Linked DNA regions of Lonchura striata. The protein of the gene in region 3 interacts with the protein of the main gene of each other region in a pairwise test. Links are inferred from orthologs where the notes say so. Each region holds a gene or a part of one and is shown on either strand. Other genes may lie near its edges.

The links.
Region 1: the proteins of TRIM54 (region 3) and SH2D1B interact in binary tests that used the Homo sapiens proteins (3 or more experiments, as listed by UniProt). The two-hybrid records come from large-scale screens. The link is inferred for Lonchura striata from reciprocal best matches to the Homo sapiens genes TRIM54 and SH2D1B.
Region 2: the proteins of TRIM54 (region 3) and LENG1 interact in binary tests that used the Homo sapiens proteins (3 or more experiments, as listed by UniProt). The two-hybrid records come from large-scale screens. The link is inferred for Lonchura striata from reciprocal best matches to the Homo sapiens genes TRIM54 and LENG1.
Region 4: the proteins of TRIM54 (region 3) and KLHL38 interact in binary tests that used the Homo sapiens proteins (3 or more experiments, as listed by UniProt). The two-hybrid records come from large-scale screens. The link is inferred for Lonchura striata from reciprocal best matches to the Homo sapiens genes TRIM54 and KLHL38.

Annotation. Positions count from the first base shown.
Region 1 is NC_134604.1:2,908,812-2,916,498, forward strand, and holds the start of SH2D1B (SH2 domain-containing protein 1B), read right to left. Parts: upstream 3,017-7,687; coding exon 2,778-3,016; intron 1-2,777. UniProt on the Homo sapiens protein: Cytoplasmic adapter regulating receptors of the signaling lymphocytic activation molecule (SLAM) family such as CD84, SLAMF1, LY9 and CD244. In SLAM signaling seems to cooperate with SH2D1A/SAP.
Region 2 is NC_134640.1:2,371,414-2,378,559, reverse strand, and holds the start of LENG1 (leukocyte receptor cluster member 1), read right to left. Parts: upstream 3,016-7,146; 5' UTR 2,960-3,015; coding exon 2,828-2,959; intron 2,355-2,827; coding exon 2,217-2,354; intron 1-2,216. Other genes in the region: membrane-bound acylglycerophosphatidylinositol O-acyltransferase MBOAT7, read right to left, coding at 3,056-3,300, 4,323-5,491.
Region 3 is NC_134605.1:113,723,997-113,730,833, forward strand, and holds the start of TRIM54 (tripartite motif-containing protein 54), read right to left. Parts: upstream 3,016-6,837; 5' UTR 2,930-3,015; coding exon 2,762-2,929; intron 2,335-2,761; coding exon 2,162-2,334; intron 1,843-2,161; coding exon 1,671-1,842; intron 1,595-1,670; coding exon 1,499-1,594; intron 1,382-1,498; coding exon 1,148-1,381; intron 944-1,147; coding exon 921-943; intron 849-920; coding exon 706-848; intron 367-705; coding exon 265-366; intron 127-264; coding exon 88-126; intron 1-87. Other genes in the region: DNAJC5G (dnaJ homolog subfamily C member 5G), read right to left, coding at 4,344-4,423, 4,969-5,122, 5,283-5,496, 5,726-5,838. UniProt on the Homo sapiens protein: May bind and stabilize microtubules during myotubes formation.
Region 4 is NC_134603.1:12,475,123-12,483,058, forward strand, and holds the start of KLHL38 (kelch-like protein 38), read left to right. Parts: upstream 1-4,917; 5' UTR 4,918-5,120; exon of another isoform or gene 5,121-5,150; intron 5,151-5,698; 5' UTR 5,699-5,826; coding exon 5,827-7,176; intron 7,177-7,936.

The DNA.
Region 1 (7,687 bases), on a different chromosome or scaffold from region 3:
AAATTCACTGTATGGCTCCTACTTCTGAGAATAATGTTCTTCCTTTGCATTTCCCAGGGTTTGAGTTATTGTTACTTTTGATAATAAGCAGGTGTTTGAACACTGAGGCTACTGATGTCTTTGAATATATTTTGTCAACAGAAATAAAAGCTTGCTAGTAGCAGCACTTCAGGAGGTGGACTGAAGATCTTGTCTGTGGTCAAAAAAGGTAGCAGAGTTGCAAGAAAATATACATCACAAATAAGTGAGGAGGTTGGGGAGAGCATCTGAATACAAGTTTTTTTAACTTGTGTGCCTGTTCATCAGGAGGACTTCAGCTGTGGCTATGTGAAGTGAACTGCCATGAGAAGGAGGATCTTGTGGCAGAAAACTGGCTCAGGGCACTTGCACAGAAGTTAAGGGTTACTGAAAATAAACAACTTTGTTCTGCAAAAAAAAACCTTACTATGAACTGAGATCAGAATAAGGCTTTCAGTTATAACATATTTAATTTAATTCAAAAAGTGGTATCACAGGGATGCATATTTTGTTTCTTGTCTTCTTGAGATATCTGTTCCATGCTGAAAAGTACTTCTACAAATGTGAATGCTTACAGAGACATAAAAGTGAGAAAAAGAAATACCAGGAACTGATCCTTTCTGAAACTTGTTCTATACTGATCAACTAAGTATTAAAATGTTTCTGCCTGGATATTATTCAGGTACTATAATTTTTACAAAATGAACATGAAGCTATCATTAAAATGGAAACTTCTGTCTCCTCATTAACTACTAAATGCATACCAAGAGCTAGTAAAGGGTACAAATAAACAAAATGTTTGGTCTGGAAGAAAAGTGACGTGAGAGGGAGAATGGCATGTTGAACAGTAAGGAGAACAGTAGCAAAACCAGCAAGTCTGAAGTGAGGTGCTGTCAGAGACCTGGGATAATTCTAGGTGAAAGAGACAGTGTGCTGTGGAGGAAAAGCCCTGCACCTTGCTCGATTAAAGGAGAGATGCATTAGAACTGGTCACACCATTCTGCCTCCCAAGTCCTCCATGGGAATGCACTCTGCCCCGTATCACAGTAAAAAAGGACATGAAAGTAAGTTTGTTTGCTGTAGCAAGTGGATCAGTGTCTCTGCCCACACATCAGTTAATGTGAGAAGGGTTTTTCAGTTTGCACATGAACCATGTTAGTTGCTAAACAAGGTGTGAGATGCAATGCTAATTCAAAAGTTGCCTTTGAACACCACTGAGAGTTTCAGTGTTGGTTGCCCCCAGTTTCAGGACACTTTGCCTAGTGAACCACTGCCAGGCAGCCAGGTTCTGGGGCAATTCTCAGCCAGAGCACTAACACCATCCCATGTGCTGTCTGAACATTAGCCTTGCTCTGACCTGTGCAAGCCACCACCTGTGTACCACTGCTGCTGCTCTCACAGTTTAACTGTGGCATTTCTCCATGTCAGGATTATAGACAAATCCCCCGAACACTTCCATTTTTATCAGCTTTTAACACTAAAACCCACAGAGGCAAACTGGAAGTGATGATTGTTCATGTGCCTGCGCAGAATATTGTGGCAGGCAGATGTGACAGGCCAAAGTATGTCTGCAAGACATCACAAGGCAAATCTGCTTTGCCTTTAAAAAAAAAAAAAGATGAAAGGAGAAGCAACTGTGTTGGTGTGGCACAAGGCCTAACCCATTGTCACTCTTCCTCTGTGTCAGGTTCCCCATTTGTCCCTTCCTTTGGACAAGGTATGCATGTGCCTTCCCTCCCACCTTCCTGCCCTCCCCTCAGCATTGTCTCATTCCACACCACACTCAAAGCAGGTTCCTGTAGCTCTCTTGCTGACTGCTCTATTTGTCCCCAACTTGCTATTTCTCTTCTACTCATTGTTATTTTGCAGATCTCCTTTCTTCTACCCACCAACCCAACAGTACTCCATTTCTCTCTCCCTTTTTCTCCCCTCTCCATTGATTTGTTTCATAAGAAATTAATTTTTAGTGATTGATAAAAACGTCTTCTCATATTTGTTCATTAATTAGATGTGTCAAAAGGTTTTCATGTCACACTCAAATGTACCCGCAACGAGAGTATGAAACTTCATAGGTTCAAACAAAGACCTAGATTCTAATTTTTAAACTTTGACTGCATTATGAACAGATCAATTACATATGAAAAGTGTAAAAAGGGAAATAAAAGTGCTAGTCCCTACAGAACAAGAAAATAATAAAATTTTAATTGTAGCAATTAAAACTTCGGCCTAGAAGGAACAGTTTTCTAAGCCCATCTTTTCTTTTTACAGAACTTTGTAATTTTCAGCTTCAGCCAATGTTCTTATATCAGGTAAAATTCCTATGAACCACAAGGCTGAGCTTTTATCAGACAGAAAGTCTACAAAGAAGGAAGTGTTTTGCAACACACCATGAGAATTTTCAGTGTTTCAACAATGCTAAAATGCTGTTTACTCATCACTACAGAGGCAGTTACTTTGAGCAAGGATCTTAGCATATTTTGGCAGGCTGAGGCATTTTCTCTGGGCTCCCCTTATTCTCTGCAGAGAGAGACCAGCATCACCACATTATTAATTTATCATCTGTTGCATTAAATAGTTTTTTGGAAATGCCACACCCTCACCAGTCACTATAAAGGAAACTTAAAGCATCACTTGAATACTTGAATAGACACAGTCCCTTGTAGTTATTATCAGGGAAGAACTATCAGTGTTAGAGAAGATGATTGTTGTCTTTGGATCCAACTGAAAGCTCATAAAAAAATCAGTGTTGGGCTACTTACAAAACACAGAGACACAAGGCTCCTTCCACACTCTCACTCTCCCGTATTAAATAGCTGCCATTCTTTTTCTTCTTGCTCAGCAGCTCTTCACAGGCTTTCTTTGTTATCTTTCCGTGAAAAAATGGGAATTCCATGGACCAAACAAAACAGGGTATCTTGCCTTTCAACGCAATTCCAGAGCAAGTCAGAAGCCTGTCATGAGAAGAAACCTTGTTCCAAAAGCAGCTGCTTGTGGGCATCTGAAGCTGGAGGTGCCAAGGACACACAGGAGCTCATCTGTGTTTTTTGCTGAACTGTCCCCAGTGAGGTGGGTGAGCTCTGCAGCTCGACAGCTCATGAGCTCATGGGGCAGGAAAAGGTTGGTCTACACTGGTCACAGTCCACATCAAAAAGGAAGACACTTTTGTCACATTATACCAGCAGAATTTTGGGTTATTTATCACACCTCTAAGCTATGAAATCACTAAGTTAACACTGAGGTGACATTTTTAACTTAAATTTATTGTTTAAAGTTGCTCAAAGCCCAGCAAGTAGGGTCCTATGCTTCAGGAGTGTCAGGACTGTATAGGGGAGGATAAAATTATCTAAAAGAACTCTTGTCTTTTTTCAGGTGATTTTGAGAAGAGAAAATAAGTGTGTGTGATATTTGAATCAACATCAGTCATGAAGCTATAGGACGTGCCAGAAAAAAGTTGGCAATTCGCTGTTCGTGCAGAGGTTTAAACAAATTTCCTCAAAATAAACTGTAGAATGACAAAAAGTATTTAATGAAGGAACAGTGTGAGATGCCAGGACTCCTGTCATCCTGATCACAGAGAAAAAAAATCTGTGAAAAAACCAGCATAAATACTGATGGAACACTGTAAGCAAAAACAACCATGTTTTTCATGCAGCTGTTACATTTGTGTTTTTTCTCTGACAACTTTGTACACACAAAAATCTTACGTTAACATTTGTGTGTTTAACTGAAACTTGATCATGCATCACACCGAGATAATTTCCAGGTGGTATCTTAGCTAGTTGAGGAATAAAGTAACTCTAAAAAGGTTCTGTTTTGTCTCAAAGAAATGTAAAAACTTAAGAAAGAAAGATATACCAAGAGAGAAACTGAGAAATGGCAAGTCCAAGGTGCTGCTGTTGCTGAAGTCTGTCCTGCAGTGACCACAAGTTTCTGATAAAACAAGTCCTGACCACCAAGAAGGTGAGCTTGTTTAGATATTTAGATCCTCCAGTTTCAGCTGTCTGCAGACAGTTGCATTTGGAATAAGTCCTATTTTATCCTCCAATGGGATGGGGATAGTGATATCAGGAGGGAAATATCCTGGTCTTGTAAGCATCTTGAAGAACAAACATCCTTATGTGACAAAGATTCACCTTCTCATCAAATGCACTTGTATTTTTCTCAGGTTAAAACTGTGGCTTTTTTCCTACACATTGTATAAATAAACATTTTCCATGAGGTATTGTGAGGTGAATAGCTTTTCCAGAAGCCCAGCTCTGCAAATGAAGAGCAGCAACTGCTCAGCACCGTCCTGCTTCAGGCAGGTTCTCTGCTTGCATTGAAAGGAAGGTGGATGGGAAAGAACTGCAAATTCCTCTTTTGAGAAGGTAATAAGTAGACATTCTTCACAATTTTCCCTGAAGGTCTCATTACCTAGGTGCAGAAATATAAGATGGTAGTTTCAGTAGATCTTGCAGATCTTAATGTAGAATTTACTTAAAGTGAAACAGCAACCACACACTACCTGCTGTCGGATTAGCAGAGTGTTTGATTAAAAAAAAAAAAAAATCTTAAGAAGGAGGACGTGCTTGAGGAGAAATGGGGCTGGGGTCTCCTTCCAGCAGCAATCACCACCAACTGGCCTGATCACCTTCCTCCTCAGTTGTGGGTACAGCTCCCTGAGAGCATTCAGGAATGAACATTGTCCTTTTACCTCAACCTTATCTGTCTGTAATATTCAAGTGAACCTGAGAATAAGATAGAATGCTTGATTTACAAGCAGAAATCATTGAAATATATTAGAGAAAGGGGTCTGGGAGCGAGACAGTGTGGGTCTTAGATTTAGTCAAAGAAAGAAACTGAGACTTTCTAGCCAGGCAAAAAGCCTGGGAAAGAATGTAAATAATTCTTTATCTCTCTTGTTGTTCACATTGTTTATAGTTAAGTTCTATCACTGTGTGTCAAGCACTTTGCACCAATGCTGTGGGTTGTTTTCTCTTCAGAACCAATGGATTTGATCCTTGCAAAGCTCTGTATAAAAGAGCAGGGTATTTTGAATAAAGCAGTTTTACTCTCAGCAGCCTTCTGAGTCAGAGTCTTCTCATTCCCATCCTGTCTCTACAGCAACAAGACAGGAGAGAGGCTGTAAATATGGTTTGGTCAGTCACTAAATACATGTGGGTGTGGGTTTGTGTATGTGTGTGTGTTCGAGGGCTAATCCAGGGCAAAACCACACAGCTTCTGCCAAAAACACAACAGGGCTTCTATTCTGTTTGGGATACCTGTTGGTGGATGCTTGTGTAACACCTGGCAAGGGGGGATTTCCTTGTCAGACCTCAAAGAGCTGCACCATGAGCCTCACCACAACTCGTATGCACAGCATGGAATCTTTACAGTGCCTGTAGGAGTCACATAACAATATATTTCCATGGGCCTAATGTAGCCTAATGTAAACTCTGAGCAGACATTTCCTAACACAAACATTTCCACCTTAACAAATCTCACAAGTATTTTTGGCTTGCACAAACCTGCATACCCAGGCAGGTCTGAAGAGTGGTAAGAAATATGACCTGATGATATTAAGTCTGATTAAATGTGTGATGAGAAACCTGGGGAGCTGGAAGCAAACTGAGCAATAGCTCTTGTTAATCTGTGCTTAAAGTAATTTTATTTACTCCACTCCAAAATAAAATAGGGTTGTTTTTTATTCCTCATCCACTTAAGGAGATTTCATAGTTCCTAGGATAGCCTCCTGCAGTGACTATCCTTTCAGGTGGGAGAGAGCAGGGGAAAACCAAAGTCCTTTTTCCTGAAAGATTCAATCTTGGCCTGCTTCTACCGTAGCAGGGTGAAAAAACATAGTTTCCTAAAAATCCTCTGTTTGCTAAAAATCTGTGTGTCAAAACAATCACATCCTTCAGTCAACCTTATGCTTTCTGAAGTTAATGCAATCACTTCTGAAGGAAATCTTTTTCCATAAGCCACCTTTTCTTGCATAGTTCTCTTTTCTCTGGGACCGGTTTGGCTACTACTTCTATAAAATTTGATGCCTATAAATAAGCAATTCTTCTGATTAGAAGAGGAGGATAGTTAGCCACTCTTCCCTTCACAAATAGGTGTTAGAGAAACGAGACCTGCAACATTTTGGCAGCAGTGCTAAGCCATATGGGTTTTCTGCCATTCAGCTGCCTGGACTAATTTTCTTTTCTTTTTTTTTTTTTTTTTTTTTGACTCCTGTTATTGTAAAACTTAGCAAGGCTATTTCACAGTGACAGCTCATGTCGACAAGCACAGTTGGAGCTCTGGTTCTGCAATGTCTCCCAGCTGCAGCTCTAGCACAGCAAAGCTCTTGCCAGTGCCTTCTGTAAGAACAGGAAATCTGGGGAGAAGGGTCAGCTGTTCAGTAAATTATCAGTGTGGGATATCAGGGCTAAATAAAAGCTCTGCTCAAGAGCAAAACCAGCAAGGAACTGAAGGTCATTTGTTTATCTGGCCAGAAAGATAAAAACAGCCACAATGTAAGAAAACAGAAAGTAAGTTGAGCTCTAGCTAAATCTGCAATTTGAGCTGTGTTGCAGTCCCAGCTTACTGGAACTAAGTCCTGTGGCTTACTCTACCAACAGAACAAGAATGTTTTTGCAAGAACTGTTACAGCAAAAAATTACATTTAATTTCAATTTACAGCTTTAGCATGATATCTACACCAGGCTCTACTTTTGCAATTTACTGTGCCTGGATACAAAGGGATTTTTTTGGTAGGATCTGTTGATGGCAAGATTTACTTGAGACTGAAAGTAAAATCATAATGATGCAAATTCAAGAAGAAAATTGAACTAGTGTGTCTATTACTTAGAGATTGCTGCTGCAGCTGTCAGTGGAGCCTCAAGGAGTCAGAACTCTCTCATTAGCTGTCTAATAATATATAAACCTAGGAGGAAAAGCCTGTTTTATAACCTTCTTAACATACTGCCTGTTTTTTAAAATACAAGTAAAGAGAAAATGGTAGTTCAAAATGAACTGAGAATGGTAGTTCAAACTTGTCTGTGTTAAAATTTGAATTAAAAAGTCACGGAGCCAAACAATTAAAAAATGTTTACAAGATACATGAATATGTGTAAGTAGAGGGTTCTGGTCTCAAAATGATCTAGAATTTTGCTTAAATGTATATTTATAGGATAGAGTCATAAAACAGCAATTTCCTTCTCACTGGCAACCATATTGTCAGGGTTCAGAGTGATCCATATTCAATTACTCTCTGAGCTTATAATTACTCGGAGCTGTTTGTATTTAAGTGTTATGATCTGCCTCTGAGGCAAGGTAACTGAGGCTCTTGTTAAAAGATCCCTTGGAGTGAATTAGAGTGAAACAATACTGAATGACCAGTTTATATATGAGGCGTACTTATTTTAAAACAATTTCACTGCAACAGAAAGAAGGAATGTAGCCATTTTAGTTCTTTCCTACAAAAATATAAAAATGTGAAAATTCAGCTTCTAAGACATCATTCATTGGTCTCAAATGTCACATAAATTAATTAATGAAATGCAGTAAGAAATTATCTCAGGTCATGATGCCCCCAGATTACTGCCTTCCTGTTAAGAAATGTGCAAATAAAGCTGTAGGAAGTGACAAACCTCACTTGCACTTATTCACGTTTCTGCACTTCTGCTACATACTCCATCACATAGAA
Region 2 (7,146 bases), on a different chromosome or scaffold from region 3:
TTTTTTCACCCAAATTCCCCCATTTCCCACCCAAATGCCGCCATTTTCTGCTCCCACCCCTCCAATCTCAGCCACTCCTGAGGGGAAATTGGGGAGGGGGATTGGGGGTGAGACCCTCAATGTCAAAAACAGACACTTTTGTACACCCAAATTCCCCTTTTTCCCACACAAATTCTGCTTTTTTTCACCCAAATTCTGCTTTTTTTTCACCCAAATTCCCCCATTTCCCACCCAAATGCCGCCATTTTCTGCCCCCACCCCTCCAATATCAACCACTCCTAAAGACAAAATTGGGGAGGGGGATTTGGGGTGAGACCCCCAATGTCAAAAACAGACACTTTTGTACACCCAAATTCCCCTTTTTCCCACACAAATTCCCCTTTTTTTCACCCAAATTCTGCCTTTTTACAGCAAAAATCCTCCCATTTCCCACCCAAATGCCGCCATTTTCTGCCCCCACCCCTCCAATCTCAGCCGCTCCTGAGGGGAAATTGGGGAGGGGGATTGGGGGTGAGACCCTCAATGTCAAAAACAGCCACTTTTTTATACCCAAATTCCCCTTTTTCCCACACAAATTCCCCTTTTTCCCACACAAATTCTGCTTTTTTTCACCCAAATTCTGCTTTTTTTCACCCGAATTCCCCCATTTAATACACGAATTCCCCCATTTTCTGCCCCCACACCTCCAATCTCAGCCACTCCTGGGGGTAAAATTGGGGAGGGGGATTTGGGGGTGAGACCCCTCAATGTCAAAAACAGACACTTTTTTATACCCAAATTCCCCTTTTTCCCACCCAAATTCTGCTTTTTTTCACCCAAATTCCCCCATTTCCCACACGAATTCCCCCATTTTCTGCCCCCACACCTCCAATATCAACCACTCCTAAAGAGAAAATTGGGGAGGGGGATTTGGGGTGAGACCCCTCAATGTCAAAAACAGCCACTTTTTTATACCCAAATTCCCCTTTTTTCCACCCAAATTCCGCTTTTTTTCACCCAAATTCCCCCATTTCCCACCCAAATTCCCCCATTTTCTGCCCCCACCCCTCCAATCTCAGCCACTCCTGAGGGGAAATTGGGGAGGGGGATTGGGGGTGAGACCCCTCAATGTCAAAAACAGACACTTTTGTACACCCAAATTCCCCTTTTTCCCACACAAATTCTGCTTTTTTCACCCAAATTCTGCTTTTTTTCACCCAAATTCCCCCATTTCCCACCCAAATTCCCCCATTTTCTGCCCCCACCCCTCCAATCTCAGCCACTCCTGAGGGGAAATTGGGGAGGGGGATTGGGGGTGAGACCCCTCAATGTCAAAAACAGACACTTTTGTACACCCAAATTCCCCTTTTTCCCACACAAATTCTGCTTTTTTTCACCCAAATTCTGCTTTTTTTCACCCAAATTCCCCATTTCCCACACGAATTCCCCCATTTTCAGCCCCCACACCTCCAATCTCAGCCACTCCTGAGGGGAAATTTGGGGAGGGGGATTTGGGGTGAGACCCTCCCCTGGGTGAAAATCACCTCGGGTTTTCCTCAAATTCTGCTTTTTCCACCCAAATTCCCCTTTTTTCCACACAAATTCCCACTTTTTCCACCCAAAATCCTCTAATTTCCCACACAAATTCCCCCATTTTTCCATTCCTCCAACCTCAGGAAATTTCTGAAGGGGAAAATTGGGGAACTGGGATTCAGCTGATCCCCTCCAATACCAAAACCTCCCCCTTTTCTTCCAAATTCCCCAAAAAATACCAAAACCACCTCATTTTCTCCCAAATTCCCCTCAAAAATACCAAAACCTCCCCCTTTCCTCCCAAATTCCCCTCAAAAATACCAAACCCACCTCATTTTTCCCCTCAAATTCCCCTCAAAAATACCAAAACCTCCTAATTTCCTCCCATATTCCCTTCAAAAATACCAAACCCACCTCATTTTTCCCCCAAATTCCCCTCAAATAACACCAAAACCTCCCCCTTTCCTCCCAAATCCCCTCAACCCCCGCTAAAATCCCCCCCAAATCCCATTCCCCCCCTCACACCGCCCCATTTTTTCCCCTTCACCTCCTCGCGGTGTTTGACTTTCAGTCTCCAACCCCTCCAAACCCTTTTCCTCTTATTTTCCCCAATGCTATTTCCACCCTCAGCCCATCGCGGGGGTGATTTCTTTTATCCCGAGGGGGTAATTTAATTTAATTTGATTTCCGGGGGGTACCCTCACCCGTTCCCGCCTTTTCTCCGCCTCGTGCTCGCGGTTCGGCGCCGCCTCCTCGGGCGGCGGGAACAGCGCGGGCGCCGCGGGGGGGGCCGGGCTGCGCCCCCCGAGCCGCGCCCGCTTCCGCAGCACCTCCGTGCGCACCTGGCGGGGCACAGAGCGGCCTCAGGGACCCCCAAATCCCTCCCCCACCCCAAATTCACCAAAAGATTCCCCCCCCCCCCCATATTCCCTTCCCCATCGAGCTTTTTCACCCCCCCTCCCCTCCTCACAAATTTACCCATCCCGGGTGTTTTGCCCCCCTCCCCCCCAAATCTCATCCCACTGACTTTTTAAACCCTCTCCCATTTATTTCGCTAAATTGTGTTTTAAATTTATTTTGCCCCCTCCTCAATAAAACAACTTTTTAAACTCAGTCCATCCCCCCCCCCGCCACCCCCATAGATGGAAATGGTTCGCGCCGCCCTACGCCAATCGCCCCAAGTCATGCCAATCACCCCAAGCCACGCCCCTAATTTATAATATATTCAAGGCTTCTCATGCTGATTGGCTCCTCGCTACCCAGCCCCGCCCCCTTTCCCCTCCCGACACCCCCCCCATTATCCCTCAGCACTCGCCTCCTGCTCCGCCCGCAGCGCGCGCGCCTCGCGTTTCCTCCGCTCCACCTCGGCCGCCGCCTCGTCCCGCCGCACCCGCGCCACATTGTCCTTGTTCCGGACGTGCCACGACTTCTTCGGAAGGATGTTCATGGCGGCGGCGGCGGCGGGACAAGGCCGCGGCTCTGAGGCGCCGCGGCCGCAGCGGCTTCACTGCCTGCCTCTTTGTTCTGATTGGTCGAGCACCTGTCACTCCGCCCTTTCGCGCTCTCTGATTCGCTCAGGCTTTTGCTCCGCCCCGTTGTCGCGCTCTGATTCGCCGAGCGCTGTAGTCCCGCCTTTTACCCCTCCTCTGATTGGCTCACCCGTCTCCCTCAGCCGGGCGAGGCCGGAAGTGGCGTTTCCCGCCTTGCCGCCATATTGAGCCGTGAGGGGAGACGAGAACGTCTCTGTAACTTCCCCCAAAAACCCCCTCGGGACGCCCCAAATCCACCCTAAAACCCCTCAGGGAAGGCTCAAAATCTCCTGGGGAACTCCCGGCCCGAGTTCTTTGCACATTTGAAGGATTTGCCTCCAGCTTTGCCTCATTTCCCTCCGAGATTCCCCTCAGGGTGCCGCAGGCTCAGGTCAGTTCAGGGAGATTCGATCCATTTCTTACATCCGGCTGCATTTAAATGTGTTTTATTCACTCTTAATGTTTTGCGAGGCACTTTCGGGGTCCCCACACGCACCAAACACACCCGGAGCGTCACTCAAAGCTTTTATTGGTCTCAATTTTAGGGGGGCTCTTTCCAAAAAACAGCCCCACACCCCTAAAAAAACCCCCAGGGGGTGCCCACAGCCCCCCAATCCTCCCCATTCCTGATTATTGGGGTTCAGGGGGGGTGAGAACCCCCTAAATTCTCATTTTTGGGGTCCCTCCTCTTCCTCACCCGGGGGTCCCCCCGATCCCAATTTCCAATTTTGGATTTTGGGGGTTCAGGGCGTTTTTTCTCCCATTTTCCACTGGGGTTCCTCCCCCCCCCCCCACAGAGTTTTGGGGTGCTGCCTCCTCATCCTCACCCCAAATTTGGCTCTTGGGGTTCATCCCCAGCCCGGCCCTCGGGGTCCCTCCTCTTCCTCAGCTCCCCAGCATCACTTTTGGGGTTCCATCCCTCAGAAATTTGGGGATTTTGGGGCTCCCCGCCCTCCTGAAATTTGGGGTTCGAGGGGTCCAATCCCTCAGGGGTTTTAGGATTTATAGGATCCCATCCCTCATGGATTTTAGGGTTCAGAGGCTCCCCATATTCCTGAATTTTAGGATTTAGAGGCTCCCATCCCTCATGGATTTTAGATTTTAGGGGCTCCCCACTCTCCTGGATTTTAGGATTTAGAGGATCCCATCCCTCATGAATTTTAGATTTTAGGGGCTCCCCTCTCTCCTGAACTTTAGGAATCAGGGGCTCCCCAAATTCCTGAATTTTAGGATTTATAGGGTCCCATCCCTCATGAACTTTAGGATTCAGGGTCTCCCCACATTCCTGAACTTTAGGATTCAGGGGCTCCCCACTCTCCTGAATTTTAGGATTCAGGGTCTCCCCACATTTTTGAATTTTAGGATTCAGGGTCTCCCCAGCCTCCTGAATTTTAGGATTTAGAGGATCCCATCCCTCATGAATTTTAGGATTCAGGGTCTCCCCAACCTCCTGAATTTTAGGATTCAGGGGCTCCCATCCCTCATGGGTTTTAGATTTTAGGGGCTCCCATCCCTCATGAATTTTAGGATTTAGGGGCTCCCCACATTCCTGAACTTTAGGATTCAGGGGCTCCCCACATTTTTGAACTTTAGGATTCAGGGTCTCCCCAGCCTCCTGAATTTTAGGATTTAGAGGTTCCCATCCCTCATGGATTTTAGGATTCAGGGTCTCCCTAGCCTCCTGAATTTTAGGATTCAGGGGCTCCCATCCCTCATGGATTTTAGATTTTAGGGGCTCCCCACATTTTTGAACTTTAGGATTCAGGGTCTCCCTAGCCTCCTGAATTTTAGGATTCAGGGGCTCCCATCCCTCATGGATTTCAGGATTCAGGAGCTCCCCACCCTCCCCCTCACAGCGCTCCCGCCTCCTCCTCACTGTCTCCTCCCCTCCCCCGCACTCCCCCTCACGCCCCTTTTCCCGCCCTTTTCCCCTCCCCTCTTCCCGCCCTTTTTCCCTCCCCTCTTCCCGCCCATTCTCCCGTTCCCGCCCATTCTCCCGTTCCCGCCCATTCTCCCATTCCCGCCCATTCTCCCATTCCCGCCCGTTCTCCCGTTCCCGCCCGTTCTCCCGCCCGTTCCCCCGTTCCCGCCCGTTCCCCGTCCCCCTTCCCCGCGCTCCGCTGCCCGCGGCCGCCAGCAGGATGAGCAGCGGCAGCACGTGGAGGCAGAAATGCACCGAGGCCCAGTAGCGCAGCGTGTCGGCGGCGCCGCGCAGCACGAAGCCCACGCTCAGGTACTCGAACGCCCTCATCTTGAGGAACCACTGCGCCCCGCGCAGCGCCGAGCCCCTCCAGCCGCCCAGCCGCTCCAGCGGCGCCCCGAAACGCGCGCCCAGCGCCGCCTCGGCCGCCGCCTCGGCCGCCAGCCACAGCGGCACGCTGAGGAACGACAGGTACTGCCCGCCGTGCAGGCCGTGCCAGTACGCCGAGGCCAGCATGGTCCAGGCGTTCCTGCAGGGGGGAGGTTTTTGGGGGGAAAAAAGGGGGGAATGGGGTCAGGGAGGTGTTTGAACGGTGTTGGTGCGGCCTCGAATTCGGCACGAGCGGTATGAAGTTTGGGTTGTGCGCTGCGAAGTGCAGCTTGCTCCACAGAAAGTTCAATTTAGGCACCCAAAATGGAGTTTGTGCCTCTCAGAGTCCAGCCTAATAACCCAAAATTCAGTTTGTGCCTCTCAGAGTCCAGCCCAAGCACCCAAAATTCAGTTTGTGCGCTGCGAAGTGCAGCTTGCTCCACAGAAAGTTCAATTTAGGCACCCAAAATTGAGTTTACGCCTCTCAGAGTCCAGCCCAAGCACCTAAAATTCAGTTTACGCCTCTCAAAGTCCAGCCTAATAACCCAAAATTCAGTTTACACCTCTCAAAGTCCAGCCTAATAACCCAAAATTCAGTTTGTGCGCTGCAAAGTGCAGCTTGCCCAACAGAAAGTTCAATTTAGGCACCCAAAATTCAGTTTACAACTCCCAAAGTCCAGCCTAATAACGCAAAATTCAGTTTACACTTCCCAAAGTCCAGCCTAATAACGCAAAATTCAGTTTACACCTCTCAAAGTCCAGCCTAATAACCCAAAATTCAGTTTGTGCGCTGCGAAGTGCAGCTTGCTCCACAGAAAGTTCAATTTATGCACCCAAAATGGAGTTTGTGCCTCTCAGAGTCCAGCCTAATAACCCAAAATTCAGTTTACACCTCTCAAAGTCCAGCCCAATAACCCAAAATTCAGTTTGTGCGCTGCAAAGTGCAGCTTGCCCAACAGAAAGTTCAATTTAGGCACCCAAAATTCAGTTTACAACTCCCAAAGTCCAGCCCAAGCACCTAAATTTCAGTTTACGCCTCCCAAAGTCCAGCCTAATAACGCAAAATTCAGTTTACACCTCCCAAAGTCCAGCCTAATAACCCAAAATTCAGTTTGTGCCTCTCAAAGTCCAGCCTAATAACCCAAAATTCAGTCTACAACTCCCAAAGTCCAGCCCAAGCACCTAAAATTCAGTTTACGCCTCTCAAAGTCCAGCCTAATAACCCAAAATTCAGTGTACACCTCTCAAAGTCCAGCCTAATAACCCAAAATTCAGTTTACGCCTCTCAAAGTCCAGCCTAATAACCCAAAATTCAGTTTACACCTCTCAAAGTCCAGCCCAATAACCCAAAATTCAGTTTGTGCCTCTCAGAGTCCAGCCTAATAACCCAAAATTCAGTTTGTGCCTCTCAGAGTCCAGCCTAATAACCCAAAATTCAGTTTACGCCTCTCAAAGTCCAGCCCCAGCACCCAAAATTCAGTTTACACCTCCCAAAGTCCAGCCTAATAACCCAAAATTCAGTTTACAACTCCCAAAGTCCAGCCTAATAACCCAAAATTCAGTTTACACCTCTCAAAGTCCAGCCTAATAACCCAAAATTCAGTTTACGCCTCTCAAAGTCCAGCCTAATAACCCAAAATTCAGTTTACAACTCCCAAAGTCCAGCCTAATAACCCAAAATTCAGCTTGCACCTCTCAAAGTCCAGCCCCAGCACCCAAAATTCAGTTTACATCTCCCAAAGTCCAGCCTAATAACCCAAAATTCAGTTTACACCTCCCAAAGTCCAGCCTAATAACCCAAAATTCAGTTTACAA
Region 3 (6,837 bases):
TCCACACCCTCATCCCCACTCCCAGCAGGTCTCCTCTGCCCCACGGCACCCCATGGCCGTGCCCATCTCACTCCCATGAGGTCTCACCATGGGGAGAGCTCGCTGGCTTCTGCCTCGGCCCCACATCTGCAGCGGGAGAGAGGGAGCAAGAATGAGGCAAGGATGCCCCAGCACCCTGAAGGACACGTGCTGCCACACGGAGACCACGGCACAGCCGAAGGCTGGCACTGGACACAGCCCTGGGCAGTCAGGGCAGGCACTCACCTTCAGCAGCTTCGGGCACCTCCAGACTGTCCAGCCGGTCCTCGTCTGCTGCAGCCTCACTGCCGTCCCCAGGTCCATCCCCCTCATCCTCACCCAGGGGCTCTGTGGGCAGGGGACAGCTCAGGTGGGACCTTCCCTCCCTCCCTCCTGCATCATGGGGATACACTAGGGCATGCAGGAGGGAGGTGATGGAGCAGGACGCTCCAGGATGGACGTTCCTAGGAGGAATGTGACCAGCCCAGTGTGGGAACCAGGGAGAGCCTGGGCAGGACTGACCCTCCAGGGCCCCTGGGTGGAGCTACAGGTGAAGGTCACATCCCCAGTCCTGCGTGGGATTCCCACACAGGGCATGTGGTGAGGGGGGCTCCGCCTGGGGCTCTGGGCACCCCAGGCAGTCCCAGCACCCCCTCAGGACAGCAGCAGTTTCCCCAGTGCAGGCACCTGTCTGGAACTCGATGGTCCTCAGCATCTCAGCCACATAGTCCACGTTGATGGAGAAGTGGTCCATGTTCTCATAGCCAGGCTCAGGGCGGCTGCTCATTGATGCCTTGGACATGTCTGTGATCCTGCAGGGCAGAGACACCCTGGGAGCTGCAGGGTCCAGCACCCAGAGGGCCACCAGCCAAAGGTCTTTTCCCTCCATAGTCCCCACTCACTTTTTCAGGAGTTCCTTGGAGTGCTGTGAAGGAAAACGAGGCGGGATCAGTGTCTTCTAGACATCACCCCCACCACAGGTGGGGCACATCCAGGGGCATCCACAGATCCTTTTGGGTGAGCACAGCCCCCCGTTTAGACCTGTGAGCAGCCCCATGCCCCTCAGGGAACACCATGGCAGCACCACACAGCCCCCCTGTCCCTTCTCTCCCTGCTCCCCTGGCAGGACCTGCAGGTACAGGGCCATCTGGGGCTCCTCCATGGCCTGGATGGCTGACTCCACCAGCTTGGAGGAGGCCTCCAGGTGGTCTCCGTACTGGCGGATGAGCCCACGGACTCGCTGCAGCTTGGCCTCCTGCTCGGCTGCGATGCTCTGCAGCAGCTCCTTCTTGCGCTCCTCCAGGATCCCGTAGAGCGCATCAAACCGCAGCCCCACATGCTGCTTCTGCCGCCGGCCGTTCTCCTGCGGACAGAGCCAGGGCTGCGCCGTGTCCCCCCAGCACAGCCCCAGGGCTGGACACTGCCAGCGCACCACATCCCCCCACTGCCACAGCCCCGGGCCAGAACCCTCGGTCCCAACCTCGATGGTGTGGCAGATCTCCTCCATCTGTGTGATGATGGCCTGGATCCGGTCATTCCCCGCCACCAGCATGGCAATGCCATCGCTGAGCTCGCTCTGGCAGGAGAGGGGCTGGGTGTGAGGGTGGCTGTGCAGGCACTCTCAGCCCCCCGAGACCCCAGGGTCCCCCCACCTTCTGGCGCTGGTAGACGGCCGGCAGCGGGGCCACCTCGCAGTCCTTGTGCGCCCCGAACACCTTGCAGAGGGAGCAGGTGGGCACCTCACAGCGCAGGCAGTAGATGTTGATCCGCTCGTCCTCGTGCTCCTCGCACATCAGGTGCTGCTCAGCCTTGGCATGAAGGGGTCTACATGGCGGTTTGGGGTATCAGGTAGACACCTTGGCCCCAGAGGCACCCCAGCTTCAGAGACAGCACCAGCCCCGGGATCTGCCCAGCCCTCAAGACACCTCTGGCTCCCAGGGACCCTTCAGCTGCAGGGACACTGCTGGCAGCAGAAATACCGCTGGCCCTGGAGAGACCCGCAGCCCCAGGGATATTCCCTGGCCCTATATGGACCCCATGGCTCCCCAGTTCCTGCTGGGATCCCACCCCGAGCCCTCTCGCTGGGTTTGCTGTCACCCGCAGGTCTCGCCCTGCCCGCCCCGGGGTCCCCACGCCTCCGGACCGGGCCGACTCCTGCTTGTAGATGTCGATGATGTTCTCCACGAGCAGGTTCCGCTGCAATCCGTACACCCCGTGCCGGTCTAGCACCACCTCGTGCCGGCAGGACGGGCACCGGAACCGCCCGCCCGACGGCACCGCGCTGGAGCCCCGTGACTGCCACAGAGGGTTGGAGGCCTGGGGGGGTACGCGAGGGGTCACGGCGGCGGCACCCCGCACCCCCGGCACCTCCCAGCCCCGCGGATCTGCACCCCACAGCCCCCGGGACGCGCCCGGGCACGGCCATGGCACGGAAACAGAGGCGGAGACGGGCAGGAGCACGGACAGGACACGGGTGTGGAGACAAACAAGGACTCCTACACGGGCTCTGCTTCCCGTTCACCGTCTCCGCCGGCCGAGAGTGGCACCGGGCACAGCCCAGCCGGGATTGCCGGTGCCGGTGTCAGACCAGGCCCCTCTGCGAAGAGGATCCCGGTGCTCTGGTGCCGCCCGCCCCTCCGCCTCGCTGGCCGGGGATCCCGGGATAACGGGGCCACCACCCGCCGGACTGGGGTCCTAATGCCTAGGTCCCGGTGCCTCCCCGCGCCCCACCGGCGGGTCCCACCTGGAAGACGTCGTTGGCGCACTTGCGGCAGAGGTTGTGCTGGCAGGGCAGGATGACCACGGGCTTGGAGAACATCTCCAGGCAGATGGGGCAGATGAGCTGCTTCTCCAGGCTCTCCATGCTCCGCGCCTCCGCCAGAAGCGGCTTCAGCCCTACCGCGAAGTTCATGGCTGCGGTCCCGACCCGGCCCGGCCCGACCCGGCTCTGTCTCGCGGCTCCGCTCCGGCCGCCCGGTGCCCGCTTTGTTTCGGCCCCGGCCCCGGCCCCCGGCGCTAATTTTAGCCGCCCCCGCCCCGCCGGGGCCGCAGCTGTCGGCGGCGTCGGGTGACACTGAGTCACCGCTCCTGCCCACCCTAGGGACCGGCTGGTCCCGGGACCCGCTGCGCTTCGGGACCCGCTGATCCCCTGCCCGGGAGGAGGAGCGGCCGAGGCTCCGGGGACCGGGCCTGGCTGGTGCAGGGGTGCAGGGCTGGCAGTCATGCTGAGGAGTATGTGTCCCCCAGCAGGGCTGGGGGAGGTTGGGGTCCCGCAGATCCCACAGCCCAGTGCCAGCCCCTCCGAAGAGCAGGGTGGAGGGGCTGGAGCCAGGACACCCCCATCCTCACTCACCCTGGCACCCTGGCTATATTTAGGGAGTGAGGCAGAGCCCATGCAGCTGCGGGCAGTGGCAGTGACCAGACATGGGAAGAAAGTGCAAGCGGCTCACAGTGTCCCCCTTGGTCCCATCCCTGCCAGTCCTAGCCCTCCGCAGGAGAGCGGGGCAGGAGCAGGGGCAGTGCCGGCAGGGGGGAGCAGGGCTCCAGGATGGCAGCAGCAAGGAGAGGGAAGAGCAGAGCCTGCGGGAGCCAGCAGCAGGGGACAGAGCGGGACCCAGGTGGGTGACAGGAGACCAGTGACATTCACTACACTAGACATGACCATTCCACACAGGACGTGACCTGCCTACTGCACACCCCAGTTAGTCCCCACAGCACCCTGCAGGATCCATGGGCACAGCCCCCAGCATGGACAACACCAGGCAGAGGCACATCCTACCACCGACGGACAGAACCCAGGCACACACACTCCCCTCCCGTCGGCCTTTAATGGTGCCCACAAAAACCTAGACAAACCCAGAGGGCAGAGGAAAGGGGCACAGACAGGAGCACCCCAACTCCACAGCAGCGTTTGGCACCCAGCACCCAGCGGGAGGGCTGCAGGGGGGCAGCGGGCTCAGCCCAGCCCCAGAGGTTACAGTGCTAATGGTCTCGGACGCGCTTGGCTCCCTGCAGAGCTCGGCCCGGAGCGTCCCTGCTCGTGCCTGCTGCTTGCTGCCCGACCTGGGCACCGGCAAGGCACTCAAGGGGGCCATGGCAGCATGGGCTCCAGGCCACTGCCACCACCAGTGCTGGGGCATTGCCCTGGAGCTCGAGCAGGGGCCCAGGAGCCTGTGCATTGATGCTGGCCAAATTAACCTGAGATTATATCCCTCCCGAGGCTGATGAGCCAGTCTGGGGGGTGGGACCGTGGTCCCAGAAAGTGACAGTCCCAAAGGAGAATCCCTGCCCCGAGTCCTCAGGGAGCCGGCGGGATGGGGCCAGCCTCAGGCATCACTCCTGGTGCTGGCTGGCAGTGGGTCCGTGCTGGCAGGCGCGGGCTGTGCTATAACAGGGATCTGAGGATCTGGAAAGGAAGAGCTGCAGATCAGTGGCTCAGCCCCATCCTGTGGTGCCAGTGAGCAGGAATCTCACAACACTGCCTCAAGGGCCCCCACAGCCCAAAGCCCCCATACCCCTGCCCAGTGCAGAGGGCCATGGGAGTGCCCCGACCCCAAGGAAACCTGCAGGAGTCACCCAGCCCCACTGACACCAGTATGGCTGGTGCCAGGGAACAGCTGGCCTGGAGCACAGCTGCTCTTCCCGTGCTCTGTGTCCCAAAGGGCACAGGCCCCAGGGTCTCTAAGCTTCAGGCCTGTTCAGGGGGCCTGTGTCCAGAGGGAAGGAGAAGGTGTACCCATGGCCCGTGCAATGTCTGCCTGGCACTGTCACTGCCACCAGCCCTGACCCACACAGGAAACACCAAGGGCTGGCTGTAAGAGCTGTGACTAAAACCAACCCAACATCTGAGCCAGAACTCTGTCCCCCACACAAGATGGAATAAGGGGAGATCCCAGAGCCCCCACCAAGCAAACACAGGTGCTCCTAGCCACTGGCTCCCGCCTGACTTACCGCTGTCCTCTGCACACATCTGTGCCTCCAGGTCCTTGGGGTCCACATACTTGTAGGACTCATCCTCCTTGGGCGGGCAGCACGTCCCACAGCAGAAGAAGCAACAGCAGCAGCAGCAGCAGCAGGTGAGGGCTCCACAGCACAGCACCAGTGCCTGTGTCAGGGACAAACGTGCTGTGAGCTCACCCAAGTCCCTGACCCATCACAGCAGGGCTAAGACCCCACTCAAGCCACCAGCCTGCCAAACCGCTGAGCCAGTGACCCGCCAGCCCCGTCACGCCAGCCCCACGGACACCGGACGATGCCGGGCTCACCTTGAACCACCACTTGGACATGAGGAAGTAGTGCCGGACGGCATCGTCGCCGAACTGCTCGGCCACGTAGAGGCCGAGGGAGCCGTACTGGTCATACAGGCGGCGCTTGTCCGCGTCGCTCAGCGTGGCGTGGGCGCTGTTGATCTCCTTGAACCGCTCGGCTGCCGCCGGGTCATCGGGGTTCTTGTCCGGATGGTACTTGAGAGCCAGCTTCCTGTGGGGTGAACCGGGGACCCCCGGCATGGGCTCACAGCCTCGCTCCCCGGGACAGCCCACGGCCCCGGTAGGGACCCAGGACCCCCGGCACGGGTTACAGCCTCGCTTCCCGGAACCGACCCTGACCGCCGGGACGGCACCGGGACCATCCGGACGAGATCCCGGCCGCGCTCGCGGGACGGACCCTCACGCCCGGGCTCCCAGGGACCGCGCGGACCCCCCCGTACCGATAGGCCTTCTTGATCTCCTCGGGGGAGCTGCCCTTCTGCAGCCCCAGCACGCGGTACAGGCTCTCCCCGACCCGGGACAGCTTCCGCTGCGGCCGCGGGGGCTCCGCCATGGCCGCGCCGAGGGTCGCGGGGTCGGACGGGACGCGGCACCGACCGCCACGGCCCCGCCCCGCCGCCGCTTCCGCCCGCGCCGCCGCCGCTCTGCGCAGGCGCCGCCCGCGACCCGGTACAGGGCACGGCCCGCCCGGTGACACCGGTACAGGGCACGGCCCGCCCGGTGACACCGGTACAGGGCACGGCCCGCCCGGTACAGGGCACGGCCCGCCCGGCGACACCCGGTACAGGGCACGGCCCGCCCGGTGACACCGGTACAGGGCACGGCCCGCCCGGTGACACTTGGTACAGGGCACGGCCCGCCCGGTGACACCGGTACAAGGCACGGCCCGCCCGGCGACACCCGGTACAGGGCACGGTCCTCCCGGTACAGGGCACGGCCCTCCCGGTGACACGCGGTACAGGGCACGGCCCGCCCGGTACAGGGCACGGCCCGCCCGGCGACACCCGGTACAGGGCACGGCCCGCCCGGTGACACCCGGTACAGGGCACGGCCCTCCCGGTACAGGGCACGGCCCGCCCGGCGACACCCGGTACAGGGCACGGCCCTCCCGGTACAGGGCACGGCCCGCCCGGTACAGGGCACGGCCCGCCCGGCGACACGCGGTACAAGGCACGGCCCGCCCGGTACAGGGCACGGCCCGCCCGGCGACACGCGGTACAGGGCACGGCCCGCCCGGTGACACCCGGTACAAGGCACGGCCCATCTGGTGACACCCGGTACAGGGCACGGCCCGCCCGGTGACACCCGGTACAGGGCACGGGTGACACGCGGTACAGGGCACGGCCCGCACCACCTGACCCCGGTCCGGCGGCAGCAGGAGGCGGCACTCGGGGATCGCGCTGCTCCTTTATTGGTACAAAACGGCGGCGAAGAGGTGGTGAGGGCACGGCCGGGCCCGGGACGGCGCGGGTACCGGGGCAGACCCCCGCCCCCGGGATTCCCTGCTGCCGTCGGTGGTGGGGCCGAGGGGGGGGGGCAAGGCTGCCGCTGC
Region 4 (7,936 bases), on a different chromosome or scaffold from region 3:
ACACCTGGCCATTTAGTTGTAAGATGGAGCAGTACAAATGAAAGATGGGAAAGATGTGTAGCTTTTAAGAACAATGATTGGTGGCTTACACAGGTGTAATAGGATGTTATGGCATTTTAAAGGCCTGATCCTTCTTTGGGAACATTTCTAGTACCTAAAAATAGCAGGGGCAGATCCTGAATACTTGAATGCCTTTTTTCATAGGCATTTTAGTGTTCAGACTCAGCAAGAACAGAGCAATATAGGATCTAAGTATCTTCTTGTTACTGTTGCCATGGGTCTGTAACCAGAGACTATAGAAAGGATGGATGAAGATACTTTGGTGTCCAATGATAGGGTGATACTTTATCCTCCAGCACACTGTATGCTGTACACCAAGATAAGATACCCATTCTCAAATTATGTAGTTCGAAGAAAAAGCCAGTGAGTGTCTGAAATACACATGAAGTAGCTGGTTTAGGCAAAGGACTTGTTTTAAAATATTCCAGCAAAAGTGCCCAAAGCTGTATGAGTGGTTTCTGTGAAACCTCTAGAAGCTCAGCACCCTGTAAACCAGCTACATCCTTATTTAATGTGAAGCACAGAACTTTGGCGGCCAAATTTATTTTTGCCTGAGGAGTGTTTTAATTAACGCTAGTAGGTCATTCTGACTAAAGAAGAGTGCAATTGCTTTCATCTTAATCTTTCACTCTTTAATTAGAGATTGGCCTAAAACCAAGCCAGAAGCCCACATATCTTCACACCCACGTATACTGGGCCAAAGTCATTATTGAATTACATGCTGTATCTCTCTATCTGTACACAATGCAAACAGTGACTCTTGGGATGTTTCTCTGTGACTCCAATGCTATAAAATTTGTCACCATGCCTCTATAAGTTTAGGTCAGGGGTTCAAGACCGGTATCTATAGATGTAGCCTGTTGCCCTTGCCTACAAAATCATAACCAAGCCCAGATGCTTAAAATAAGCCTTAGTTCAGCATTAAGTATTCTATCCATGTGAATGGCAGCTGTGGCAATAGAACTCAGGGAAAACATGTTTCCTGAGGAGCTAAATAGAAAATTAATAACATAATAGTTACAGAAGAATGAGAGAGAAAGACCATAAGGATATCTGGACTTAAAAGAATAGGGAGAGATCAGATAGCTGGCAAGTAGCAGCGGCAGAAGAAAGTTAGCAGATTTTTCTGTGGGCAAGAGACAGCATGCATAAATTGCAAAACAAGAAATTCTGATTGGACATATGGAAGCAGGTTGTCCAGAGAGGTTGTGAAATCTGAATCCTTCAAGATTTCAAAAGTTCATCTGAACAAGTCCCTGAGCAAGCTAATATTCTCCCAGCCTAGGCTGATCTGTCACCCCAACCAGCCACCACTGGTGCCCGAGTCATCTTCCCATCCTCTCCGTGGCATCTGATTAATTATGAACCCTGTAATTGTCTCTTTATACAATGAGAAATGTTAATCCTGGGTTTTGTTCCCTCTCCCAGTTTTATTAAGACCATAATAAGGAATATTTTTTCTTGACCCCTGTCAATTTAGACTGAAAATTTGGGTAAAGGTATGATCTGTCTCTTGATTACTGTGAGGGCTGGTGGTCACTGAGACCACATGACAGTGCACATAATACTGAATGAGCTCAGTGAAGTCTCTGTCTTGAGCATTCTTTTTTCTTTATCCATATTTGTTCATTTTCACCTGAGTTGTAATAGGATCAGTATATGAGTTTTAGAAGTTGTCTGACATCACCAATCTCTGTGCACCTGTCTGCTGGCTGGTCAGATTACAGCTTTTTTTCCGCTCTGTTGCTTAGTGCATGACATTTCATCATCCCATTAAAACTCAAGAAGAGCTTCTCTGGGTCAGATCAAAGGTTCAATCACCATAATTCCAAAACTGAATGATGCCTCTTAAACACTTAAAGAGAAAGAGCAGAAGTAGCAGAATGAGTATACAGCATTACAACAACGTGTTTGTTGTTTGGTAGATGCTTCTATTTTCTAGAAATTGGCCACGGATGGAGCTTGTACAGCAGCAATTATAGAGGGTCACCGTTTTTAATAGCCCCTGGTAGCTCCAGACCACCAGGGGCTATGGGGCACCTGCAGCATCACAACTCAAGGTGCTGCTGGGTCACATACCCTGTAAATGAGGCCATTTTCCCATTTCTGTTCAGACAAGACCATTATCTGTGCAAGATCTCATTCTCATGGTAATTTTGTCTTCCTAAAAGAAAGACCACTCAGGTCTGGTTCAGTCAATACCATACATTCCTAGAAAACTTTCCTCAAGAAATAATTTAGAAACAGATTTTATCTGACAATTTAGAGTGTCCCCCAGCAGAAACAGTTCTACCCTCTCAGCAGGGCGCATGCCTCACCTCCCCTTCCCTCCCCCCATCCCCCATAGAGTGGGGGCCATATAGGACATATTGTCCTTGGCATGAAAAGTGATTTCTAGTCTATTTATAAAGAAAATCCTAACTAAGCGGTGCTGATGTGCCCACTTTGTTGTAGATGTGTCTGAAGCCATAATCTCTGGGAAAAAATATGAAGAGAGCTGTAAGGCAAGCAGCCGGAGCTTCATTGCTCAGCTGCCCTGGCTCTAAATTGGCAGGGACCTGTGTGGGGATTCAGCAAGGAGCAACACCACCCTCCCCAAAGCAATAAGCTATTTAAGCAGCACACTCTGTACTCTGGGCTAGCAGGAATTTACGTAACTGTGCAAAGCCATCGAGCCTGGGATCTTCTAAATAAATGCCACATTTATCAGTGTCTGAAGCACAAGAACATCCTACCTAGCCTTCCCCAACCCCATAAACCTGTGTCATTAATAAAGTCAGATAGCATCTTTTCTTTCTTTAAGGGTTAAGAGAGTAATCCACAGCCACTGCCAGGAAGAGGCAGAACTAAGCAGGCAACAAGGAGCCAGAAGAGAGATATAAAGCTACATCAATCATCAGAATGGACTGCAACAAGAGCATATGCATACAGTACAAGAAAGAAAGCGAGAGGGCGTTTTGTTTGGGTAGCTAATGTTCCCTGGACAAGGAGAGAAAAAATTTTCCTTTGGTTTTTAATGCCACTCTAAATATTTATAGCAAGATCATGTCCAGCTGGTGAGTTAGCAGCAGGGAGTAGGGAGGGAGGGTACATTTTCCCCAGCACCTCAACATCATTCTTGGGTCATTTCTTTACTTAAGAAGAAGGGAAAAGGCTGTCGATTGCCATGTTTACCCTCAAAGTGACTCATCTACAAGACTCAAATCCTGGCTCCTTCTCTTCCCCTCCCTCACTTCACCTCATACACATGTGAGCACACACACACAGATTGTGTGGGCAGCCTCCAAAAAGCTACATCAGCCAGACTGCACTCTGTCTTTAACATGGGGCTGGGTCTTCAGGGTTTTGATTGCCTTCAGGCATTTCACCACTTCAGAAAGGCCATGTACAGCATGCCCATGATGCAAAGCTGCCAGTTTTAGAGGAACAGGCTGTACACATCCCTGTGATCTGCTGCACCATGGACACCAAGGCAGGTACATCTGGAGGACTGCAAACACCAGCATGGCATGGGAGTTGATATGAGGGCACTGTGACTCCTAATGATTTTTGCTCATCTGCCTTGCTGTGACTAAATACAGACATGACTCACCCGTGAGCTTTGCCTTTGAAAATATGAGAAGGACTTTTGCTTTAACTTTGTGTTTCCCTGTTGTACTGATGCTTAGAAACTACATTTTGGATTCAACCCCACCCTAGAACAAAGGGAGAAATCTCAGCAGAGATGAGGAGCCCAATCCAGTTACCCAGGCAAGGGCAGCCAACTCTATTTCTCTTGAAACATGAAGGAATGTGGTATAGAGCTGGAACACATCACACTTGACCTGCTGAAGACCCTGACAAGTCACCAGCTGGGGTTCTGGAGAATCCTCCCCTGGCACAAGACATTTGAATGATCCCAGCCCTGAGAATGGATTTAGGCTCATCATCATAGATGCCTACCATGGGAGTGTTAAATGTGGGCACCTACGTGTGATTGAGGCAGCTGAGCACCTGTGGACACCCAGCAGTGCCTGGAGGACTGTTCACCTGCCCAAATACAGGTTGCACATACTGGTGACCTGAATTACTTGGCAGACTCAGTTGTATTGACTAGACCTCACTGCCTGCAAAAGGAGCTTAGCTTGTTCATGTGCAGCCATCTGCAGTGAGGGACCCCATCAAGGTGTGTGCCCTGGGGAGCTCTGTTCCACCCTGGGAATTACCACTCTGAAATCTTGGTTTCCAGCTTGCTACTCACTGCAGCAACCTACTCCAGTCCTCCCACCTGTAACACTGAGCTTCCTCAAGCCATCTGATTGAGATGTTCTTTGCTAGGGGTTTCAGAGAGCTGAGGTCCTTAGACAAAAGGCCACAACCTGGTGTTTTCTATATGAAATATCAAGCGGCATCATAAAGATAAATCGCTCCAAGAGTGAACTTCCCTTTCTGCTTGATGAAGGTAGCTGGGCGTTCCCTTCCCACCTTGGAGCAGTGCTGGATGCAGGGGTGCCAGTGCATCAGCGTCTCCCACCACACTGCAACAGGCTGATGCTCCATAGGGTGGAGACACTGTCCGTCCCACCGGAGTCCCTCGAAGCCCTTCTTTCTCCGCCTTTCTCCATGAAACGACGGTGACAGCGTAGCGCCAGGCATTGCAGACTGTTTACAGGCTTCTAGAGTTCCCAGGCACTTTAGGACAGCGTCCTGCCACTGTTTCCAAACGGACAGCCAGGACTTTTATAAGTGAACTTTCCTCTCCGTGTCTATTTATTATATGTAAACATTTGCCAGAAAAACACCACTCGGGCATGCTCAGAAGCAGCCAGGTCATTGCAAAAGGCAGCGGCGGCAATGTCACATGCGCTCGGAGCGCGGAGCGCTGCGCGCCTATTCTTAGCGCTGGAATGTGCACAATGCCGCGCAGCGCCCGGCAGCGGGCAAACGGACTGCGGCATAAACACGGCCAGAAATCGCCCTCTATGAGTCACCTACCTACCGAAAGAAACCTCCCGTGGGTTTATAGGTTTTTGTCCAGGCTCTAGCTGTGGAAAAACTCAGCAGAGAATAAACGACAGAGAGTAAGTGCATGCAGTGAAGGACAACAGAAGGTAAACGTTTCTACCCTTCGGTTCCACTGCAGGTTGAGCAGTTAAGCCATGACCGTAGATACTCATCATATTGTTCTGCGTGGTACCTAATTTAGTCATTGTGTGTCTGATTAACATAAAAAATCCACAGCTAAGCAGAGTTAATAAATAACTTTTAATGCAGATTCCCAGCCTCTAGGGTTCCATTCGTCCTGCTGCAGAGCTCAGCTCTGCCAGATTTGCATTCTTTGGGAGTGACTAACTCTAGAGGAAAGAGGCACAAGCTACTAAACTGCTAATACTTTAAAATAGTGAATAAATGTCTAAGTGCGTTTATTCAACATGATGGAAATGGACAAAACAATTGCTTCAGCCCTCCAGCTTTAATCCAAAATCAGTGAGATAACTTCAGTGCTTTTGCTTCTTGCCAATGACACAGGCAGTGCTGACCTCAGACTTGCAACCTATCTGATAACTTTATGAAAGTTTTAAAGGGTCTTAGCGACTTTTTGGCTTCTTTATTATTTTCCCACTGTGCTTAAACCATGTTCCATTTTTATGTGTAATAGTGAACGGATATTTACAGCAACATCAAAGTCCTTATTTGTTCCCTTGGAGCTGAATTTTTCAATAAAAGCTGCTAAGAACTTGGGGCTTTTTCTGCCAAGTCCAGAATTCATCTCTCTCATATTTTGCTATGGAAGAGGGATCCACTGAAGACTTTGTCTTCAAAGACCAGGACTTCTCCTCTGAACTGCTGAGGCAGCTGAATGCTCTGCGGCAGAGCAGGATGCTGACCGATGTTACCCTCTGCTCCGGGGGCTTTGAAATCCCCTGCCACCGAAATGTGCTGGCTTCCAGCAGTCCATACTTCAAGGCAATGTTCTGTAACAACTTCAGGGAGAGTCACCAGCCTAAAGTCATTCTAAAGGGCATCGATGCTGATATTTTGGATCAGATTATCCTTTATGTTTACACTGGGGAGATTCTAATATCCACTGAGAATGTCTTGTGCCTCTTGGAGACTGCATCCATGCTGCAGTACACTAAGCTCTTTGAGGCCTGCTCTACCTACCTGCAAGACAAGCTGACCCCTGACAACTGTCTGAGCATGATCAGACTGGCAAAAGTCTTGAACTGCCAAAGCTTGAATAAGAAAGCCAAGGCTATGGCTTTGAAATGTTTTCCTGTGGTGGCCTCTTCCGAGGACCTGAAGGACCTCTGTCTCATGGAGCTCATCGATTACCTTGGGGATGATGAACTCTGTGGGGAAGAGGAGCAGGTCTTTGAGGCACTGACGGTCTGGATCCGGCATGACCTCCAGGCACGACAAGGCTACATCCAAGAGTTGTTCAAGAAGGTCCGACTTCAGTACGTCCATCCAACTTTCCTCTTCCATTTCATTGCTAATGACTCACTCGTTCAGTCCTCACCCACTTGCAGGAGCATCCTGGAGTCGGCCCGGAGACAGATGTTTTCTTTGTACAGCACCAACACGCCTGACATCAAACCCATGATGCATGTTCCTCGCAGGTACTCCAACCAAGAATTCCTCATCATCATTGGTGGCAGGAAGGACAGCCAGCAGACAATGAGGGATGTCCTGCTATATGATGACAAGACGAGCCAATGGCTGAGCCTGGCCAAACTTCCCATGCGCCTCTACAAAGCTTCTGCAGTGAGTTTACACAGCAATATTTTTGTGCTCGGAGGGATGCCTGTTAGCAATAAGAAAAGTCTGGTCAGTGGTAATATTTACATTTACTCCCTCAAACTCAATCAGTGGAGGTTGGTTGAGCACATGCTTGTTCCACGTTACTCCCACAGAAGCCTGGCATATAAAAATTATATTTTATCATTCGGTGGAATTGGTGAAAACCAGGAAGTCCTGAATTCTGTGGAAAGATATGATAGTGTCTACAACACCTGTGAGAGCATGGCAAACATGCCTGTTGCTGTCCTTCACCCTGCTGTTGCTGCCAAAGATCAGAGGGTTTACCTCTTTGGGGGAGAAGATATAATGCAAAACCCTGTTCGGCTTATCCAGGTAATGGTCAGTCCTGCTTGCAATTCTTCTAAGGTATTCAGCAGTCTATCACCTTCATGAGGAAATCAAACCACTCAAAAAACTTCATTGTGTGTTGCAGCAAGAGGCAGGATGAGTTGATCCATGGCCTCAAGCAGCATTGCAGCTCTTTCATATTCCCCTTCTGAATGTTTCCCAGGCAGCAGCCCCAGAGGCACTGCTTTGGGTGTCAGTCAGCTGTGCCACTGGTGGGCCCTAGGGCCAGGGCTGCTGCAGGTGATGCCATGGCAGGCAGCAGCAGTTCCCCCTGCCTGGCTCCATGCCTGTAGCCAATCACACCAAAATCAGTGCTTTCCACTTGGCGCTGAGCTGGGGTCCCAGCCGTGCACCTGCTCGCTCGCAGCAAACGCAAACACTCACGATCATTAGAGAGATTAGATACTCACTCATCAAAGGGCCAGAACTTAAACTGACAGTCATTTTGGATAAACAGTTGTGTTAAAAATGTGGCTCCTGCCACATGTTGCTGGCTCTTTGCCTGCTTTCAGACATTACACTCTACTAGGAGGAAAAACATACCTTACATTTTTTCTTATCTGATTTGATGCTTTAGCAACATTGAAATGTTATTTTCTCATGAGTGTTTTTCACTGTTCAAAGTGCTTTAACTAAGAAGGATCATTAAGCTAAGATGGAAACCAGGACATGAGAAATGCTTTATAACAGTACTTCATTATCAGAGTGAAGGAAATGTATTTATCAGTTAGTGGGGAGATGCCCT